5 linked regions of the Rattus norvegicus genome follow. The protein of the gene in region 5 interacts with the protein of the main gene of each other region in a pairwise test. Links are inferred from orthologs where the notes say so. Each region holds a gene or a part of one and is shown on either strand. Other genes may lie near its edges. The genes, in order: Tsnax, Cep57l1, Bicdl2, Ccnh and Klc3.

Region 1 (3,785 bases), on a different chromosome or scaffold from region 5:
AATCAATCCCGGTAATTTATGACAGCTGGTGGGGGCGCTTACAAGGTCGTTTGTTTAGTGATGGGTCTGGATTCTCTTTCTTTCTTGCTTTGTCTGTTTCTTGTCCTTTGTCCTTTTGTTGTGCTGCTTGCCTTACCCTCTGAGCCTTCTTTCCAGCCCTCTGTTGTCTTTGGAGCCATAGTCTCTGTAGTCCAGGCTGAACTCAGGGTTCTTTTTGCCTTCTCATCTCTTGTGGTGGACCTGTAGGTGTGTGCCACCATACTGGCTTCTGTCTCACTCTGGATTGAGTGTGTCTGTTTGCAGGTGCACATGGAGGGTGGGTGCTGCTTCTGATTCTTCTGTTCTCTGACTTAGACTTGTTTTGAGATAGGGTTTTCACTGAACCTAGAGCTTGCTGCTTTGCCCAGACTGGCCCTGAGCTGCAGGCATCCGTGTGGCTCCTCTGACCATAGGAATTAAAGATGTTCAACACCGTGGCTGGGCTTTTACTAGAGTTCAGGGGGTCTGAACTCAGGCCTTCAGGGTCCCATAGCACGTACTTCACCCATTGAATCTTATCCCCAGGGTCTGAACTGACTATTCTTACTGTTTGTTTGTTTTAGTTTTTAATGATGGAAACAAAAAAAAATACCTAAAATTGAAACTTCTGGAAAAACCATTTGTTCTTTCCCGTCTTGTATCACTCCTCAAACTTGACCTTGGCCTCAAGCCTGGCCTTGCATTTCAAAGCTGGGTCTCTGAACACATCCTTGTTGACAACAGTTTTGTCCAAGGGGATATCCCCAGAGTACCTTGCGGGCATGAGGTGGTTGTAGTTAAAAACTTTCACGAAGGACTTGATCTTGGATCTCTTGGCAATCTTTTTGCCCATGGCAGCTGACACTTTTCAGCGATAGTGGTCAATTCCAGCCACCAGGGCATGGCTGTGAGGGTGTCTGAGGTACCATCATCAGTGATCTTCAGGATGACGGCTTTGTGTCTGGAGTGCTGTCCAGCCAGGACCAGCACTAATTTCCTGGGCTTCATGAACTTGCCCATTTCGACAGCAAGCAGCTGGTACCAGAAGAAAGGAAAAAAGGACGTTTTTTTTTTTTTTTTCAGGACAGGGTTTCTCTGTGTAGTCTTGGCTGTCCTCGAACTCACTCTGTAGATCAGGCTAGTCTTGGATTCAGATGTGTTTGCCTCTGCCTCCTGTGTGCTGGGACTATAGGCCTGTGTCACCACCAGCCAGCAACTGTTATCTGTTTTAGAATTATTTTATGTGTTATTTACCTGCATGTGGAAGCCAGGGGATAGCTTTGTGGGGTACATTTTCTTATTCTGCTTGAACCTGTGTCCGGAAATCAACTCCAGGTATCTAGGCTGGCACAGCATCAGTGGCCCTGGATTGGATATTTTTTGTACCCCTGTGTGTGTGTGTGTGTGTGTGTGTGTGTGTGTGTGTGTGTGTGTGTGTGTGTGTTCGTGATTGCTTAATTGAGTTCGATGTGTGTCTCAACAGTCTGGATCATCTCTCTCAGATAGTACTGGGTAACTGGAGCTTATGGAGACCAGACTCACTTAGGTGCTTCTGTATGGCAGCTAAGGTGGTGACTTCAGGTCTGTGTTGAGGTGCCTGTCAGCTCTTGCACTGCCCTGGAGATAAGGGCTGCTCCTGTGTCGCTTTACCGCAGCTGCACGGCTTAGCATACAAGGAGGCTTCCTTTCCCTCCTACCCCAGCTTTCTGGGCCACCGTGGCAGTTCTGTCACCTCTGTTCATCCTACCTGCAGGACACCATTCATCCTACAGATGCACAGACACACATTGGCCCTGCAGTCACATGGACCCCCATGCCCATCTGGGATGAGTTTCTCTGTGCCTGAAGGACTCGGTTCATGCACATGCAGTGTCCTGCTGATGAGTGGGCTCTTCCCGCTTTGGAGGCTGTGGGATTGTTCTGCCTGTCTGCCTACCCACTCGAGTACCCGGCCACTGCAGCAACCTGTACTCAGTCGGAGACTTGGGGAGTCCCTTACAGTGCAGTGTGTTAAAGCACTGTCCTCCCGAGACTCTCCCTTGCTCTCTGCCCTGCCTGTTCATCCATGACCTTAGTTCGTGACCTCCTTAAACTTTCAACTTTTCAACTCAGGACTTTGGCTCTGCCTAGGTTCTTCCTTCCTACCTTGTCAGGAGGAAACTTCTCCAAGCCTTGACTTGGACATTGGGTGTGTCTTCAGGACCCTGATTGTTGTCCTGTCTGATGTCCGCGTGCTTGGGTGCAGTGTTTGAGACCTTTGTTGGCACGCTCTATTAATTTGAGTTGTTTTAGGTGGAAGCAGCCAAGTCCAGAGGCTGATTGCTATGAATAGGGCTTTTCTTATCATTTTGATCACAAGGCCGACGTTTTCAAGGTTCCTGATCTCTTTCCAGTGCTCCTGATATGGAGGAGATTCTGACTGAATCAGAAAGTAAGCTGGATGGGGTCAGACAGAAAATGCTGCAGGTAGCCCAAGAGCTCTCAGGAGAAGACATGCACCAGTTCCATCGTGCTGTCACCACAGGTGAGTCTGAAGGAGCCCTCGTGTGCAGAGGGAAGAGCACAGCTTGTGGCAACTGGTTTTTCCTTCCACCATGGGGGCCTCAGTAATTGAACTTAGGACATCGGCTTGGTGGCAGGTGCTCTACCCACTGAGCTATCTGCTGATGCCATGCAAAGAACTTCACACACACACACACACACACACACACACACACACACACACACACACACACACTGTGTGTGTGCAGTGCTGCCTTACCTGGCTGTACAGGGAAGTGCTGAACAGAAGCAGCAGTGGCACCTGCTCTCCAGCTCCACAGGGAGCTGCATCTGTGACTGTGAAAGTTGCTTCAGTTGCACTTAGGAAAAGAAACGTATGTATAGTGTGGATGGCAGGAGGCCATGAAAAGCTGCTGGTGTCATTGGTAACTGCTTGCTTTGCTGTTTCTCCGAAAGGCTGTTCTTTTGACTTGAAGATAAAATAGGTCTGGCTTTGAACTAAGGAGTTTTGTGCTTATTAAGCACAGTGCTGGTAGTGGGGCACGGTGTTTCCCTGAGAGGGCTGTGAGCACAGACAGCTTCATGGTTCAGCAGTGCACCCGGGCTGAGGCAGACTGAACTGTCCAAAGGCACAGTTGGACAAGTACACGCCCACTAACTGCTTGGAACGTAAGACGTTTCCATGACGTCTTCTGTTGTTGAGAAGTTAACAGGTTGGGGAATGTCCTGCATCTTAAACAAATTTTCATACTGTTTTAGCTTAGTCTACTCACTGATACTTACCATGTTTTGAGATGTTTACATGTGTAAAATAAACTGCTTAACTCCTAAGTAATGTAATTATTTTATTCAAGAGTGAATGATGGGTTAGATGAGTGTCTGGTCACCTAGAGGTGGGTGTTTTCAAAATAGGTAATTGTCTACATTGCTTGCCCAGCCTTGACACCAGTGCAAAGTGTCCATTCTTCTGCCTCAGTAGTACTGTCATTGACACGGGTACAAAGTGTCAATTCTTCTGCCTAGGTGGTATGTGTCACTGACACGGGTACAAAGTGTCCATTCTTCTGCCTAGGTGGTATGTGTAGTTGCCATGGGTACAAAGTGTCCATTCTTCTGCCTCAGTGGTATGTGTCACTGACACGGGTACAAAGTGTCCATTCTTCTGCCTCAGTGGTATGTGTCACTGACACGGGTACAAAGTGTCCATTCTTCTGCCTCAGTGGTATGTGTGGTTGCCATGGGTACAAAGTGTCCATTCTTCTGCC
Region 2 (3,785 bases), on a different chromosome or scaffold from region 5:
GCAGTCAGCCCACGTGTGCTGGGGATATGTCTGCTCTCTGCCTGGCGCAGGGCTGGCTCACTGCTCTGGATCACTCTCTTATGGTTGGTTAACTCAACAGAGATTCACTGATGTCATGGTGTTGGTGGGTTTCCATCAACACGACACAAGTCAGAGTCGTCTGAAGAGGGAATCTGAAATGAGAAACAGCCCTCTACCAGGCTGGCCCGTGGTGCATTTATGTATTGATGGGGATGGCCTGGCTCTCTGCTGGCAGCTGCCTCTGAGCTGGTCATCCTGGGTGCGACAGGAAGGCAGGCTGAGCAAGCGTGAGGAGTAAGGAAGCAAACAGCTCGCCTGCCTCCTGCCCTGGCCTCCCTCAGTGATGAGTGGAAATGAACCCTTTCCTCACCGCAGAATTTGGTCATGGTGTTTATCACAGCAACAGAAATCCTAAGACAGTAACCATTACTACGGATTTTTTGAAGGGTGATAAACAGATCTTATAAAGTAATTTGTAAAGCATAAAATATTTCTGGAGTCCTATTTTCTAATATGATTTGAGGTTCTCTTTGGTTTATGTTTAAAACATTGCAATAGTCACTTTCTATTGTTACTTGGATATAAAAGGATTTAAGGGTAACTGTGGATATGTGTGACTTCTGACTGCTGCTTGAATATGATACAATCCCACTGGCATTCTGATTATCTACGTTAGAAGGATTCTGACTCTAGATTTTTATTCTATCTTTTACTGATGTACTTATTTAACTTTTTCATTTGTATGTGTACATCACGTGTGTGTGGATGAACATGTGCCATGGCACACACACGTGCATGCACACATGCACACACACACACACACACACACACACGCCCAAGGACAACCCTCCAGCACCAGTCCTCGCCCATGTGGCTGCTGGGAATGCATTCTTAACCCCTGAACCATCTCTCTATTGATAGTCCTTGGATTTTTATTTTATTTCCAAATTGACAAGAAATTTAATAGAAAAAGACTAATTTATAAACAGACATTTTGAGAGGTCAGAAGAGATAAGCAGAAAGTGCTCCTCAGTGAAATGTCATCCTTCTGAAGCCATGGAGACTAACATCATAATCATGTGACTAAGATTAAAAAAATTGAAAATCGTTGAAAATCGTTTTAAGCCTGGTCTGCACGCATTCTTAGAAAGCCCCCCTGCTCTGCTCTGCTAGCGAGTGTAGAACCATGGGGCCCAGGGCGAACTCTGTGGTGGGAAGGAGGTGCAGACCCGCCGTCTGGCGGCCCAGCCTGTGTGGTGGCACCTGCCTATGCGACAGCACTGCAGAGGCTGCACGGGGAGGGAGAGGTGTTTCGAGGTCAGTGTGAGACCCTGAAACAAAAGCTAAGAAAAACCTAAATAAAAATTTTACTTTAGGGGCTGGGGATTTAGCTCAGTGGTAGAGCGCTTACCTAGGAAGCGCAAGGCCCTGGGTTCGGTCCCCAGCTCCGAAAAAAAAAGAACCAAAAAAAAAAAAAATTTTTACTTTATCACGCTAGCAGTACAATTTTATTCTTTTTGTTTGTTTGTCTGAGGCAGCAAGATTTCTTTATTTAGCCCTGGCTGCCTCAAACTTGCTGTATAGACCAGGCTGCCTCAAAATCATGAAGATCTCCATCTTGAGAGCTGGGATGAAGGACACGTGCTACCACTCCCCTGGCCTTTGACTTTTATCCCTAAGAGAGTGGTTTTGTTTTCAAAGGTACTTTTATTATAACTATGATATCTCCTAGTTTGCCTCATTAATCCGTAGCTTACTTTTGGGAATGGTGAGTGACCTACGAAGCTCCCAGGGAAGAGCAGCAGCGCTGGTCAAGGGCTGTGTGAACACTCAATACACGGTCAAGCACTTCTGCATAACCACAGCCGGGTCACTCCCACGCCACGCACTGCTCCTGCCGCTCTGTGGAGTTCGTTCGTTCGTATTAGCGTTACCTTGGTTGTTCGGACTATTAAACATCTTAGGAGAGCTCCCGGGGTGGCAATTCTGAGATGCTTCGGTCTGTGAGAACGACGGGAGATACATTCTCTCTGGAGGGTTAAGGTAGCTCCCAATCATACTGTGCGGTAATTCAGCATCCATTGTCTGTGGGGATGGAGAGACAGGGTGTGGTGTCACTGACCCCATCAAAGGACAGCTAAGTCACACACGATGACACAGCATGTAGCCGTTAGCAATACATTACACAGTTATACATTCACAAAGTTAACTATTACCACGTCAACTAGGTTAAACTCAGTAATAAACAAGCAATGTATGTGGTGTAAGCGAGAGACGTTTTTTCCTGGGTGTTCCTAAGTTACATGTACCTCAGCCATAAAACTATGAGTCTAGGATTTCAGGTACATACTCAGACAATTCAGGTTTTCAACAGCAGCCATTAACAATAGTCTCATAGTACTTTTAGACATTAACAGATGAAATTCCTGGATGTAATCCCTGAGTAACACACACTTCCACTTAAGGAGCCTTCACACTAATTATCTACTGAATGCTGGCTGGTGTCATTAACTCACAGATACACTGGATGAGTTGAGGCAGTATTTGTTTCAAGTACCACTCACTGGCACAATTCTAAGCCAGAGAGCTTTTTATAAATGTAACTAAAGAATGTCATAAAGATACTAAGTTTTTATTTCTGCATTACATTATTTTCTGTGACTTCAGGGCTTTCCTGGTTAAAGAGGCAAAATCTGGCTTCTCTCCATGACAGTATTCCTGAGAAGGGCAAAAGGGAGGCTTCTAGAATTTTCTACTGTAGCTTCTAGAATTTTCTACTGCAGCTATTGCCATGACAACCTCGTATGGCTGCATGAGGCAGGTTCATTGAAACGCTTGCTGCTCTTTGCTCTTGGGAAGCACCCAGGCTTCTCCATGATTGCAGCCACTCCCACTGACTGAGCCTGTCTCCAATGCCCTTGGGGTATGGCTGTTTATTCACGGTCTCTCCTGTGAGGGCTGATTCCCTCAAAAAAGCAAGATACTAAGCTAGTCACGGCTGGCTCACTATGAGGTGGAGTCTACTAGAGTCCCAACGTAAGTTCTGAAGGTGGATATGTATCTTCAGAAACAGAGAGGTTGGTAAGAATCTCCTCAAAACACTAGAGTCATTCAGTATATATGGCTCCTTTCTCAGTTCCTGGGTTGTCCCTCCAATAATGGGATGGATAAAACATATCTCAGTTTCTACACAGTTTGGAAAATGAAGACTACTCTGACCCAAGTATAATATATTTCAGATCAGATCTTGGCACAAATTAGAAGATTGGGAGTGGTGGCACACTCCTTCATCCCAGCTCTCGAAGGCAGAGGCAATGGATCTCTGCGAGTTGGAGGCCAGCCTGGCCTCCAGGGTGAGTTCCAGGACATCCAGGGTTATACCATCCCTAGCATCATAGAAACCAGGGCTGTGTACCTTCGGAATCCCAGCACTAGGAAGGGTGATACAGGAGAATAAGGAGTTCAAGGTCACTCTCTGCTCCTGGGAGTTCAGGGCCAACCTGGGCTACATGAGTGAGGTCTTGTCAAACAACAAGCAACAAAACACACTGGCTTAGGTTTAATGTTGATAAAATCCTGACTACTCAGTAGGCGCCAATAAAGAGACTTGTTAATAAACACATGTCGAGTAGATACAAACAGCAACAAACTATCTGCAGAGTGAAAATAAAGAAGTACCGAGAGATGGCTCTGGGTGTGTGTGGGGGTACTTGCTGTGTAAACCTGAATTTCATCCTTGGAACCCAAGCGAAGGCACAGGAGAG
Region 3 (4,337 bases), on a different chromosome or scaffold from region 5:
GTAACTTCAAATCCTCCTAGAGAGAGTATTTACACCACAGAAACCAGTAAATGTAACAAGCTACAGCTTTCATTCTCCCCAGAGACCCCAGTGTTAAACATTTGCCTGCACGCCACTTCCCCAGAAATGTGTTTGTTCTCTGCATCAGGTCTGGGATTCCTGTCCTGTGCTTCAGGAAGCCCTAGTGTCTAAAGTGGATTACTAGGAGCCATAAGACCAAGGCTGGGGTTTCACTTTGTGAGCTGGTCCGACATCACCTGCCTTGGCTCCTACCCCTCCATACCATGACTGCTGGTCTTGCTGGAGCATGAAGCCCAACTCTGCAGAAAGAAAGAACTGAGACCCCCCTCATCTGGAGCCACGTGGACGCAGGTGTGCTTCAAGGCAAGCCACCTTAAGTGCCTGGGAATCAGCGTCCTGTATGCTGCACGGAATTATTAAAGAATAAGATACCAGAACTGGCAATATAGTCAGTCGGTAGAGTACTTACCTAGCACACACTGGGCACTGGATTCAAACCCCAGCATTAGCTGAGTGTGGGGTGGTGCATGGCCGTCACCATATCAACCACCAGGAGGTAGAGCCAGGAGCACCGGAAGCTCCCAGTCCTCCGCTGTTTAGTGAGTTTGAGGCCACCCTGTGATACATGAAGACCCCCCCCCACCTCTCTCTCTCTCTCTCTCTCTCTCACACACACACACACACACACACACACACACACACACACACACACACACACAGAGATTCCTCCTCACACGTTCACTGTTCCAAATGATAACACCTCCCTGTCCCCCATTGGCTCATATATTTGAAGGCTTTATCCCCAGTTGGTTGATCTGTTTGGGAAGGATTAGGAAGCCAAACTTTATTGGAAGACAAGCTCATGCCAGGTCCTCACTCTTCATCCTCACTCTCCTTCCTGCCCATGTATCAGAGGTAAGCTCTCACTACCTACTGCTCCACTACCAAGCCTGCCTGCCTGCTGCCATGCTCCCAGCCTTGTTCGTGGTCTCCAACCCTCAAAATAAATGCTTTCTTTTATAAGTTGCCTTGATCATAATGCTTTGTCACAGCAATATAAAAATGAGTAAGACAACAAATTTGTACCCCAAGTTAAAAAAAAAAAACAAACCTGTCAGTAGCTGCTTGCTTCCTTAGGATGTCACAAAGGGAAAAATAAATTCCTTTCTTAGTGGAGGGCTTACCACTGTATCCTTACTAATAATTTTCTATCACAAGGGCAAGCATGAAGAGTAAGAAGCTGACTACTTTGCTGAGCCTATAGAGCTGCACATAGTAGGTGTTCAATTAATGTGCCCAGTAGGAGCAAGATAGATTCTTTAAGAGGATGGATGGGACTTTCCTTTGGCAGTGTCCAGTCATTCCCACCACCAGGGGGCGACCCAGCCCCTCCCGCAGCACCGCCCCGTCACCTGTGCAAGCCTGCACCTGGCGCCGCCTCCGGAAGAGGTCTTCGGGGATCGGGGAACCTCGGAGAGAGCCGGGTGGCGACAGGTGAGAGCCTAGGGGGTGCTGAGGGCGGGACACCTAGGTTTGGGGCATGGTTGGGGAGGACCGGTCGGAACGGTAGGATGAAGGCGATCGGGAACAGCCTCTAGGGACTCTGGAAGTAACTCCGGGAAGCCAGGACACCTGCAGCAATGAGAGTGGTGGCTGGGCATTGGATATCCAAAAGCAGGGTCCGGGAACCCACTGTGCCCAGCCCCTAGGACAGCTGGACCCGGACATGTATAACACCTGGGATTTTCCGGCCCAGCTGTACTTGGCACCTGTCGAGGGGAGGGGAACAGGTGTTCGTGGGCTCCCGGGTGAGTAGGGGGCGGGGACCCTACCGGGGTTGGCGTGGAGAAATCAGAGTGTCAGGCCTTTCCTCTGGAGCCCCTGAACCCCTCTCCCTGGGAGGCCCTCATAAAGCATAGGGCTCCCATCCCCAGGGGCGGGCCGGGAAGTAAACAGAAACCCGAAGTGGAGGCTGTGGCGCGCTGGCTGGCACAACCTGTTACCTCGCCCTGTGCTGGGTCAGCGCCAGGGACCAAGGAAATTGGGGGTCTGCGGACGAAGGCTCCTAAGTCAGGAGGGGTAGAGGCAGGAATACCTGAGTCTTGATAAAATAAGGATTCAGGAGATCCCACTAGGAATCCAGGAGAGGGGCGCGATGGCCATCAAAGCTGACAAGGCTAAACCAAGTCTAACGCACTTGGGTCCTGAGAAAGTAGACAAGGATATGGGAAGGCAAAGAGCCAGAGATCTGAGTTTCTGGAAGGGGAAGGAGTTGGATCCCTGTGGCTAAAGGGTCAAGACACAGCTGTTCCCACTGGTGAGAACTGCACTCTCAAGATAGGGAGTTGGTTTCATCCCTAAGACTGCGTCTATGTGAGCCTACCATTCTAGGATTAGTGCCCAAGTGGTGAGGAACTAGGAAGAGGAGCAGGGTCTGTCAGTGGGTTGCTTGTGGCACCAGAGTACAGGGACAAATCTTCCAACGAATGGGTGACAAAGGCAGGAGAGGTGGAGAGCAAGGTGGCTGGTTTCATTCTGCTTCCAGACTCAATCTACCCTGAGGTCATTAACGGAGCTGGGTGGCCAACAAGGATCATTAACCCTTGTTGGCCCAGGCTACAAGATTGAGAAGCTTAGGTGTTTGCCACTAGGGGGCAAGCCCGGGGGCTGCTGCAGAATGGCCATGTTCAGCAACAACCTGTCTTCACAGATGCGTAGGCACCATGGACTCCCCTGGTGGGCCAAGCTTCTCTTCCGGGCTGCTCTCAGGGGGTGCTTCTCCTAGTGGCGATGAAGGATTCTTTCCCTTTGTGCTGGAGCGTCGAGACTCCTTCCTGGGAGGAGGCCCAGGGCCAGAAGAACCAGAGGACCTGGCACTGCAGCTGCAACAAAAAGAAAAGGACCTGTTGCTGGCCGCCGAGCTTGGCAAGATGCTTCTGGAGCGCAATGAGGAGCTTCGGAGGCAGCTGGAAACACTGAACGCTCAGCACTTGGAGCATGAAGAAGTAAGCTGGCCCGGGACAGGTGGGGGGGGGGGGCACAGGCAGGGCTGGGATAGACGGGAAGAGCCAAGCGAGGAGAAGGAGAGAGGACATATGGGAGAGCAACAGATCTCAAACAGATCTGGGCAGGGAAGCCAGGGAGAGGGCAAGCCTGTAGTCCCAACACTCCAGAGGCTGAGAAAGACTACATCCAAGACCTGTCCCCAGAGAAAAAGAGCCAGGCATGGTAGCACAAACCTTTAATCTTTAATCCCAACACTTGGAAGGCAGAGGCAGAATGATCTCTGTGGGTTCAAGGCCAGCTTGGTCTACAGAGTAAAATCCTGTCTCAAAAAAAAAAAAAAAAAAAAAAAAAAAAGGAAGGAAGAGAGGCTGGAGAGAGGGCTCAGCGGTTGAATGCTCTTCCAGAGGTCCTGAGCTCAATTCCCAGCACCCACATGGTGGTTCACAACCATCTGAAATGGGATCTGATTCCCTCTTCTGGTGTGTCTGAAGACAGCGACAGTGTACTTATATATCTTTAAGAAAGAAAGAAAGGGGGGTTGGGGATTTAGCTCAGTGGTAGAGCACTTGCCTGGGAAGCGCAAGGCCCTGGGTTCGGTCCCCAGCTCCGAAAAAAAGAACTAAAAAAAAAAAAAAAAAAAAAAAAAAGAAAGAAAAAGAAAAGAAAGAAAGAAAGGGGCTGGAGAGATGGCTCAGCCATTTAAGGCTAGGCTCACAACCAAAAATATGAGGAAGAAAGAAAGAAAGAAAGAAAGAAAGAAAGAAAGAAAGAAAACACACACATAGAGAAAGGACTCGCACATACACATTAATTTAAAAAAATAAAAGCTAAGAAAAGAAGAGCAGTGGGGGATGATGGGTACTTGGTATGATGACAGAGTTCTTGCCAGGTAAACGCAAACCAGCAGCTCCTGTATGCAGCCGTTGGAAAGTGAAAGCAGGACGTTCAAGGCTGTACTTGGCTATATACTGAGCTTGAACCCATCTTGGGCTACATGAGACCCAAAAAAAAGAAAGAAAGAACGACAACAAGAACTCTAAATTGGAGGTGTAGTTCAGTAACAAGGTATTTTTGTAACACGTGCAAGGCCTTGGGTTCAGTCCCCAGCCCAGCAATACATAATCAATAAATATCTCAGGCAGGGTGTGGTAGAGCACAGCTCAATCCGGGCATCCCAGGAGGCAGGGACAGGCAGGTATGTGAAGCCAAGCTGGTCTCCACAAGCTCTAGACCAGCCAGGACTGCATAGTGAGATCCCATCTCAATGACAGATAAAAAACTTAAGGACAAACAAGACCTGTGTTCAGATC
Region 4 (4,248 bases), on a different chromosome or scaffold from region 5:
TGCAGACATCCAGTTAGACTGGCACCATTTGTTGAAGATCCTTTTTTCCCTCATTTTGGCTTTTTTTGTCTAATATCAAGTGTCCATAGGTGTGTGGGTGTTTTCAAGGTCTTTGATTCTATTCCCCTGATCAACCTGTGTGTTTTAATTCCAGTACCATGCAGTTTTTATTACTACTGCTGTGTAGTGCAGCTTGAAATCAAGGATGGTGATACCTCCAGAAGTTCTTTTATTGTACAGGACTGTCCAACAGACGACTAATATCCAAAATATATAAAGAACCCAATAAACCAATTAAAAATGGGGTACAGAGCTAAACAAAATTCTCAACAAAGGAATCTCAAATGGCTGAGAAGCACCGAAGAAATGTTCAACATCCTTAGCTCCACTTTGGAAATCAGTTTGGCAGTTTCTCAGAAAATTAGGAATAGATCTTAAGTCCCAGCTAAACCACTTCTGGGCATATACCAAAAAGATGCTCCACTGTTCTACAGGGACACACGCTCAACTGTGTTCATGGCATCTTTTTTTATGATAGCCAGAAACTGGAAACAACCCAATGTCCCTCAATGGAAGAATGAATTTAAAAAATGTGGTATATCTACAGAATGGAATACTATTCAGCTATTAAAAACAAACACATCATGAAATTGGAGGGAAATAGACAGAACTTGAGACTATCACCTAGGGAAGGCTTGGGGAGTCTCTGGGGGTGACTCTAGCTGAGATTCCTATGACCAGGGGATATAGAGACTGAAATATCCACCTCCTGTAGCTAGCCAGGACTGCCAGTGAAAGGAGGAGGACATCAACCCATCCATCCACAAACCCATCAACCCAAAATTTGTCCAGCCTGTAAGATAAGATTGAAGATGGAGCAGAGACTAGAGAGAAAGGTCAACCAGTGACTGGCTCAACTTGAGACCCAGCCCATGGGAAAGAGACAACTGACGCTATTACTGAAACGCTGCTGTGCCTCCAGACAGGAGTTTACATAACAGTCTCCTGAGACGCCTCATCTAGGCCCAGATGGAAACAGACGCGGAGACCCAGAGACAAACATCAAGAACTTGGGGAGTTTTGTGGAAGACTGGGGGACAGACTTGAGCAAGCCAGAGGAGTCAAGGACACCAGAAAAGGACTTATAGAGCCAACTAACCTGGGTCCATGGGGGCTCACAGAGACTGAATCACCAACCAAAGAGGGCTGGATCTAGGACCCCCTCCATATTTGTAGCACATGTGCAGCTTGATCTTCATATGGGTCCCTAACAATTGGCGTAGGGGCTGTCTCTAACTCTGTTGCCTGCCATCGGATCCTCTTTCCCAAATTGAATGACTTGAATGTTGGGCCTCAGTGGAAGAGAAGATGCTTCTGGGAGTAGATCTAGGGTGGTACCCAAAGGGGGAAGGGCTTCCCTTCTCTGAGATTTGCAAAGGGTGAGAAGAGGTGGTAGTGGTAGTGGTGGTATGATTGGAATGTAATGTGAAAAATAAAATTATCGGGGGTGGGGGGTGGGGAGGAAGGGTGAAGAGTAAGAGTTCAGTTCTCTCAAGCTAGCTAACAAGCATATTCTTCTTTACAACTACTTACCACAACAGACCGTGGCATAGCTGGTTTAAACACTGAACAAAATTCCAACAATCTTTTTTCATAGTATTTGCAAAGTGTCATTTCTTCATGAGGCTCAAGAAACAACGGATCATTTGGAAGAACCTTTAGACAGAGCAAACAATTCAATGTAAGTTCAGTGCATTAATTGTACAACTGTCTTCTCTGTCTTGCTTAAATCTGACTCATACCATCAACAAAAAACAGACCTTACATTTTTTTCTCTTTGTAAGTTTGCTAGGCATTAAGCAAAATATCTAGGAAAATAATACACAAAATCAATAAACGGAATCTAGGTCTTCATTTCACAAGTTCTCAAACTGTCAATTTGGACATTTTTAAACAATCATGACAGAGTATGCCAATATACTCCCAGGTTTGAAACCACTATTTGTAAGTTAAAAAGAAGATACATATTTTCACTTGTTGGAAATCTCCCAAAGTAGTTTTCTCAGCCAATCAATGTGTCACCCAAATTAAACCATCATCATCATCATCATCAACAACAACAACCACCACCACCTCAATTCATTGGCCACCTTCTTGTTTTGGGAATACAAATCTTATTTGCCTGAGTTACCTCAGGGCAGTACAATAAAAATGAGTGGGAAACTTGAAGGAAGACCAGTACCATAGAACAAGCCATACTCAACTGGCTTCCTTGTGCAACATTCTGAGTTCAGGTTGTTTCTGGAAAGCAGATCCAACAAGCCATCATTTTCCCATTTGAAGTCTTTGGAAAGTCCCCTTCAGTTCTGGCATGAGCTTCATCCTCCTTACACTTCCACTTACAAGTTGCTTGCCCATGTTCTTCAACCACTGCCACAGAGGTACAGCTTCACCCACGAATGACCACGAGCACTCCACATACTTTCCTTCGAGTCTGACTCACAACTAGACACCAACGGCTGTTTCTGCCCTCCCTCCTGCCAACTATAGATAATGGTTTGTCCTGACATCCCGAAAGACCAGTGACCAGTTCGAGTCCCGCACTAAAATCCGCACTCTATCAAGGCTTTCGCTATTCCCTAGGATGTTACTCGCCCGGGACTTGACTGTCGCGTCAGTCACTGTCTGCACTGACACGGCCAGGTGAGCGGTTTACAAGCTTCCAGCCGGCAGGCAAAGCGAGACTTCAGGAGGGTCCCCAGGTTCAGGGTGGGCACAGGGGCTGGCTCGCGGGGACCTCACCTTCCCGTTAGCCACAGCTTTGCACTTGAATTTGCGGTTGGCGTCGGCCCGCAGACGCGCCAGTTGCTCCTCGCTAGCGAAGGTCCAGTGCCGCTTCTGGCTGCTGTTGTGGTACATGCTGTAGCCCTCACGGGCCGCAGGGCCGAGACAGAAACAGCGACACTCCGGGAGACAGCAGCCACGAGCGACTGCCAACGCGAGAACCCTCGGCCCAGACCGCAGGCGCGCGCGTGACGTCACGGTCACGTGCCTGCGTCTGCCCGGGGCCTTTCCGGAACCCTAGGGAGGGATTCCGCGACGTGGGAGGGCGGAGCCTCGGGGCTCCCAGGCTTGGGGAGGAGTCTGACGGACGTGGCCTGGTAGCGTCAGAAGTGGGTGCGGCTGCAGTGATCCTGGTTCCCGAGGACTCGTGAGCACTAGGGACTTCAGGACCTGTGGAGAGAGGGACTTGATTGGAAAATGGAAGTGCTGGATGCGAATTCAAGCTACAGCTAATGCAACCTTTCTCCAGAGGTTTTTAATCTTCCCAGTATTCCCATCTCCGAAGACAAAGTGGATGCTAGTTTTACAATTCTGTTTTATTGGACACCGCCAAGATGTAAATTATTACCTGGAAATTTTTCAGTGCTTTTTTTTTTTTTGTAAACAAACACAAATGTCTTTGTGCAGTCTTAAATTGTCCTATGTATTGTTTGTAGACAGACTCTTAAGTATTTTGAGTGCCAATATAATTTATAATCTGAGTATTGCAATCACAGATCTGGCTTTGCAGAGCATGGTCTCCAAAGAAAGGTTTTACATACTTTACTAAAGTTACCAGCAAGAGCACACACATAGATAGTACTAGGATTTCCTTTCTTGCTTTGAGGAAATATCCCATTTCTTAAAGTCTTATCCTAAAATCTCTAGGATAAGGAGAAAATTAAAAGAATTCAAGATTATGTGCTCTTAACAGGAAAGGGAGAAAAGAGGACCAGAAGAATAAGGATCAATTTTACTTACATAACTTGAAGTAAGTTTTGCATATCTTTGTGTATATGGTATGCATGTTGTAATGACTATTCCTGGTTATCAACTTGACTATATCCGAAATGAACCACAACCCAGAATTGGAGGGCTCACCTGTGACCCTGTCTTGAGGCTGGAAGACACAAGATTCCAACCTGGATCTTGGCATAGAGATCTTGAAGCACAGTGGCTATGACAAGGTTAGGCCCAGGCAAGGAAGTATGCATACTCCTTTAATCCCAGGAGACTGGGGCAAGGAGATCTCTGAGTTCAAAGTCAGCCTGAGACAAAAATAGGTCCCAGATCCAGGCATGGTGGTACATGCCTTCTGGGCCACACACCTGCTGGAGGCCTACATAAGGACTTTGGAAGAAGGAAGATTCATTCTTCTCGCCTGCTTGCATTTACTTGCCAGCACATCCGTTGGAACCTTCTATG
Region 5 (4,305 bases):
AACCAATTCAAGTTCCAGAGGATCTGACGCCCTCTTCTGGCCATGTGGGTATTGCACACACCTCCTGCACACACATGCTTGTAAGCAAACGCTCATGTACATAAAATAAAAATAAATCGTAGCAAGGGGTAGTGGCACGTTTTTAATCCCAACACGTGGGAGGCAGAGGCCTCTCTGAGTTCAGGCCAGCCTGGACTACAATTCGAGTTCCAGGATAGCCAGAGCTACACAGAAAAACTCTGCCTCAAAAAGAAAAAAATCTTAAAAGAAAAAGGAGACACTGGGAACACAGCTAGACAAACATTGCCAAGGCCCTGGATTCCATCCCTAATACCATAAGGGAAAAATAAAAAGTTGATGGATGGGCATATGGTACAAATCTGGGATCTGAGCTCTCAAATCGGGGTTCCAAGCCATCCTTGGCTAAACCTTCCTGTGCCGCCTCAAGCACTGGTACAGGCAGACAGCACTAGTCGAGGGCTTGTTTATTGTTTGTTTGGTTTCCAACACAGCGTTTCTCTGCGTAGCCCTAGCTGTCCTGGAACTCACTCTATAGACCCGGCTGGCCTTGAACTCAGAGATTCACCTGCCTCTACCTCCCAAGAGCTGGGATTAAAGGCATGAGCCACCTCTGTTGGGCTGAATACATGTAGTTTTTAAAGAGATAATCCTCTGCTCCACACAGAGTCCAGTGCCCACCCCACTTCCTCTGATGATTTTGGGACTGCCTGAAGCAGCGTTTTCTAAATCTCAGAGTAACAAGTAGGTGTGTGTGTGTATGCATGTGCGTGTGTATGCATGTGCGTGTGTGTGTGTGTGTGTGTGTGTGTGTGTGTGCTCCTGCAGCATTCCAGCCCAAAAAGAGACCCAACTTCAAACTCTGAAATACACTTTCTACTTTGTGAGCAGCTTTTCCAAAGGCTTTAAAAAGTCAAAACCTTGGGGTTGGGGATTTAGCTCAGTGGTAGAGCACTTGCCTAGCAAGCGCAAGGCCCTGGGTTCAGTCCCCAGCTCTGGAAAAAAAAAAAAAAAGTCAAAACCTTAATTCCAATGGTCTAACTGGGTACCACCAGGTTATGACTCTGGAGAGGAATGGTGGTCACACCTTTAAGCCCAGCAACTCAGGAGGCAGAGGCAGGAAGATTTCGTTGAGTCCAAAGCCAGCCTGGTCTACAGAGTGAGTTCTGTCTAAAAACCAAAACCAAAACAAAACCAAAAAATCATTTCAACTTCTCCCCAGATGTGGCCTCTCCCACCTGTCATCCCAATACTCAGAGTCAGAAATGGGAGGATCGGGGTTGGGGATTTAGCTCAGTGGTAGAGCGCTTGCCTAGCAAGCACAAGGCCCTGGGTTCGGTCCTCAGCTCCGGAAAAAAAAAAAAAAGAAAAGAAAAGAAATGGGAGGATCCGGTGTTCAGGGTCACTTCATCTCTACAAACAAAACCAAAACCATATATAGAGACACATAAATAAGGTCATGGTGAGAGCGTGTGGAACCCGAGTGGGCTCAACCTCACAAACCATGTAGTCAGTCTCTTTACCACACAAGCTCAGGGTGAGCCATCCTGACTCCAGTCATTCTGCCCCAGTGTGGCCAGGGTCACCACCCCATGGCACAATCTCAGACCCAAGGAAGCCTTTGCTCCATATGCAGCTTCCCACAGCTTGATACCCAGATCAACAATCATGGGACAGCCACAGCTCAGCTGCAGCCATCTGCCACTCGAGCTGTCCCCAGCATTCACAGGAGCCCCATGAGAGTTTCACCAGTCCACAGCAGGCACACAGCGTGCACGCACACACACACACCTATGCAAACCCCAGCTTGCAGACACAGTCACACTCATACCCCCCCACACACAGATCCCCACCCCAGGGATACACAACCAGAAAGTCAACAGTTAGTCAGTGACAGTCACATATCGCTGACACAATTCCACACACTCCACCCCAACTGTCACATAACACCTAGATCCAACCCCATTAGGCAGCCCATTCCCTGTCACCCATGGTCATACGTGTGAATCAGCCTCAAGTACAGAGCTGATCACAGACTCAGCATCTCAGTCGCACATGCTCAGTACTGTGCACAGTCCACATGTAACACACACACACACACACACACACACACACACACAGAGACAATTAGACAAGATCACCTACATTCACTCGGTCTGTCCCCATCAGAGTGACATGGTAACCTATCTCCCTTTTACACTCTTACACTCTTACCCACAATCTTTCTTACTTTAAAAAAGATATATAATTTACATATACATATGTATATATATGTATATATTGATACAGAGTTTCTTTAATATATAAACAGAGCTTCTCTATGTAGCCCTGGCTGTCCTGGAATTCCCTCAACCTGGCCTCAAATTCAGAAATCCATCTGCCTCTGTGCCCCCACCCCCCACCCCCAAGTGCTGTGATTAAAGGTGTGCATCATGATGCCTGGTCCTTATTTAATTTTTTTCCCTTTATGTATGGCAGAGGCACATGGAAGGTCAGAGGACAACTTGCAACTTAAGGGAGTCCATTCTTTTCTCCCACCTTGTGGATCCTGCAGACCAAACTCGAGAAATTGACAGTTTGGCAACAAGTGCTTTTACTCTCCTTGTTGGTTCTCTCCCCCTTTTCTTTTTCTTCCTCCCTTTGACACTTGTACCCACAATCCACCCTCCTGTCTCCCTTGAGTACGAAGCCTAGGCTCGCCTTCAACTCCGTTCTCCCCGCCTCAGTTTCCACAGTGTCCCTTGCCTTACTCCCTCTCTTTGCACACCCCCGCGCAGGCTCCCTCACCATGCACGTCTTGCACTCTCAGGCTGCAGCTGGGGACTCTCCAACAGCGCGCCAGCCTCTCCCCTGGCCGCGGAGACCCTGCACCGTACTTCGCGTCACAAGGCCCCGCCCCGCCCGCAGCTGTTTTTCTACCCGGCTAGGGGCGGGGCAGGGCCCCGCGGGGACCCCGAGGCTCATCCGAGCCGCCAGACCCATAGCCCCTTCTCTCCATCCCTGCGGCCCCCTCGGGAATCCCGAAGCAGCCGCCGCCGTCTCCCGTGCCCACCTGACGGCCGCCGGTCTGAACCGCCTCGCTGCGCGGAGACCCGACTGCTCCCGCTGCGAAGCCGCTGGTCCGGGAGGCTCCTGAGGGGGATGGGGCAGGGCAAGGCCACGCCCCCGCAGGTGCGCAGGCCACGCCCTCGGTCGACACACATTGAGAAATCCTCAGTCTAGGATCGGGGTGGGGCGGGGGCGGGTGGAGGCCACGCCCCTGTAGGTGCTCAGGGCACGCCCTACGCCGCTGCAGTAGGAGAAGCCTGCAGTTTAAGAACTTTTGTAAACTCTGTCTGGGGTCCTGCGAGAAGGCTCAGACAGTAAAGGTGCTTACCGCCAATCCTGAGGGGCTGAGTTCCATCCCTGAGACCCTCAGGGTGGACAGAGACGGGCTCTCACATGTTGTCTTCTGACTTCTACATGTGTACAGTCATACGTTCACACATATGAAGTAAACACATAAAAACGTAATTAAAACTTTCTTGGGTTGGGGATTTAGCTCAGTGGTAGAGCGCTTGCCTAGCAAGCGCAAGGCCTTGGGTTCGGTCCCCAGCTCCGAAAAAAAGAAAAAAGAAAAAAAGAACTTTCTTGAAGGGGCTGGAAGGATGGCTCCTAAGGTAAGAACGCTGGCTGCTTTTGCAGAGGACCCAGGTTCAATTCCCAGAACCCACACATGTTGCTCAAAATCATCTGTAACTCTAGTTCCGGGGGATTCAGCACCCTCTTCCAGGGCCTCCACAGACACAGCATGCACATAAAGATAAAAACCTCCAAAAATACTGTTTCAATAATTGCAACCTCAGAACCTTACACAACAGTTTCTTTCCGGCTGACAAGACGGTAGTAAAAACGCTATCTGCCATGCTTGAGAACCTGAGTTTCATCTCCAAGAACCAAATGGAGCCTGAAAACTGACTCCTGGGAATTGTTCAGGAGTCGTCCAAGGAGAGCCTGGCCTCCACATGCATGGATGGAACATGTGCAGACATACATGTGTGTTCGTGTATACGTACAGACATATAAACAAGAGGGGTTTGTTTATTTTGAAGATTTATTCCTTTTTTTTTTTTTTTTGGTTCTTTTTTTCGGAGCTGGGGACCGAACCCAGGGCCTTGCGCTTGCTAGGCAAGCGCTCTACCACTGAGCTAAATCCCCAACCCCGAGTGTGTGTGTATTTTTAAATTGTATTAATTCTTCCCCCTCCCTTTTTGAGGCAGGGTCTCACTGTGTATCTGAGTATGACCT

What was found.
Region 1: the proteins of Klc3 (region 5) and Tsnax interact in binary tests that used the Homo sapiens proteins (3 or more experiments, as listed by UniProt). The two-hybrid records come from large-scale screens. The link is inferred for Rattus norvegicus from reciprocal best matches to the Homo sapiens genes KLC3 and TSNAX.
Region 2: the proteins of Klc3 (region 5) and Cep57l1 interact in binary tests that used the Homo sapiens proteins (3 or more experiments, as listed by UniProt). The two-hybrid records come from large-scale screens. The link is inferred for Rattus norvegicus from reciprocal best matches to the Homo sapiens genes KLC3 and CEP57L1.
Region 3: the proteins of Klc3 (region 5) and Bicdl2 interact in binary tests that used the Homo sapiens proteins (3 or more experiments, as listed by UniProt). The two-hybrid records come from large-scale screens. The link is inferred for Rattus norvegicus from reciprocal best matches to the Homo sapiens genes KLC3 and BICDL2.
Region 4: the proteins of Klc3 (region 5) and Ccnh interact in binary tests that used the Homo sapiens proteins (3 or more experiments, as listed by UniProt). The two-hybrid records come from large-scale screens. The link is inferred for Rattus norvegicus from reciprocal best matches to the Homo sapiens genes KLC3 and CCNH.

What each region holds. Positions count from the first base shown.
Region 1 is NC_086037.1:69,876,210-69,879,994, forward strand, and holds part of Tsnax (translin-associated protein X), read left to right. Parts: exon of another isoform or gene 1-2,411; coding exon 2,412-2,542; intron 2,543-3,785.
Region 2 is NC_086038.1:46,842,280-46,846,064, forward strand, and holds part of Cep57l1 (centrosomal protein CEP57L1), read right to left. Parts: intron 2,786-3,785; exon of another isoform or gene 2,669-2,785; intron 2,107-2,668; coding exon 1,956-2,106; intron 1,932-1,955; exon of another isoform or gene 1,779-1,931; intron 1-1,778. UniProt on the Homo sapiens protein: Centrosomal protein which may be required for microtubule attachment to centrosomes.
Region 3 is NC_086028.1:13,194,764-13,199,100, forward strand, and holds the start of Bicdl2 (BICD family-like cargo adapter 2), read left to right. Parts: upstream 1-1,441; 5' UTR 1,442-1,515; intron 1,516-2,731; 5' UTR 2,732-2,744; coding exon 2,745-3,026; intron 3,027-4,337.
Region 4 is NC_086020.1:17,569,294-17,573,541, reverse strand, and holds the start of Ccnh (cyclin-H), read right to left. Parts: upstream 3,049-4,248; 5' UTR 2,920-3,048; coding exon 2,803-2,919; intron 1,717-2,802; coding exon 1,594-1,716; intron 1-1,593. UniProt on the Homo sapiens protein: Regulates CDK7, the catalytic subunit of the CDK-activating kinase (CAK) enzymatic complex. CAK activates the cyclin-associated kinases CDK1, CDK2, CDK4 and CDK6 by threonine phosphorylation.
Region 5 is NC_086019.1:88,180,589-88,184,893, forward strand, and holds the start of Klc3 (kinesin light chain 3), read right to left. Parts: upstream 2,835-4,305; 5' UTR 2,806-2,834; intron 1-2,805. UniProt on the Homo sapiens protein: Kinesin is a microtubule-associated force-producing protein that may play a role in organelle transport. Plays a role during spermiogenesis in the development of the sperm tail midpiece and in the normal function of spermatozoa.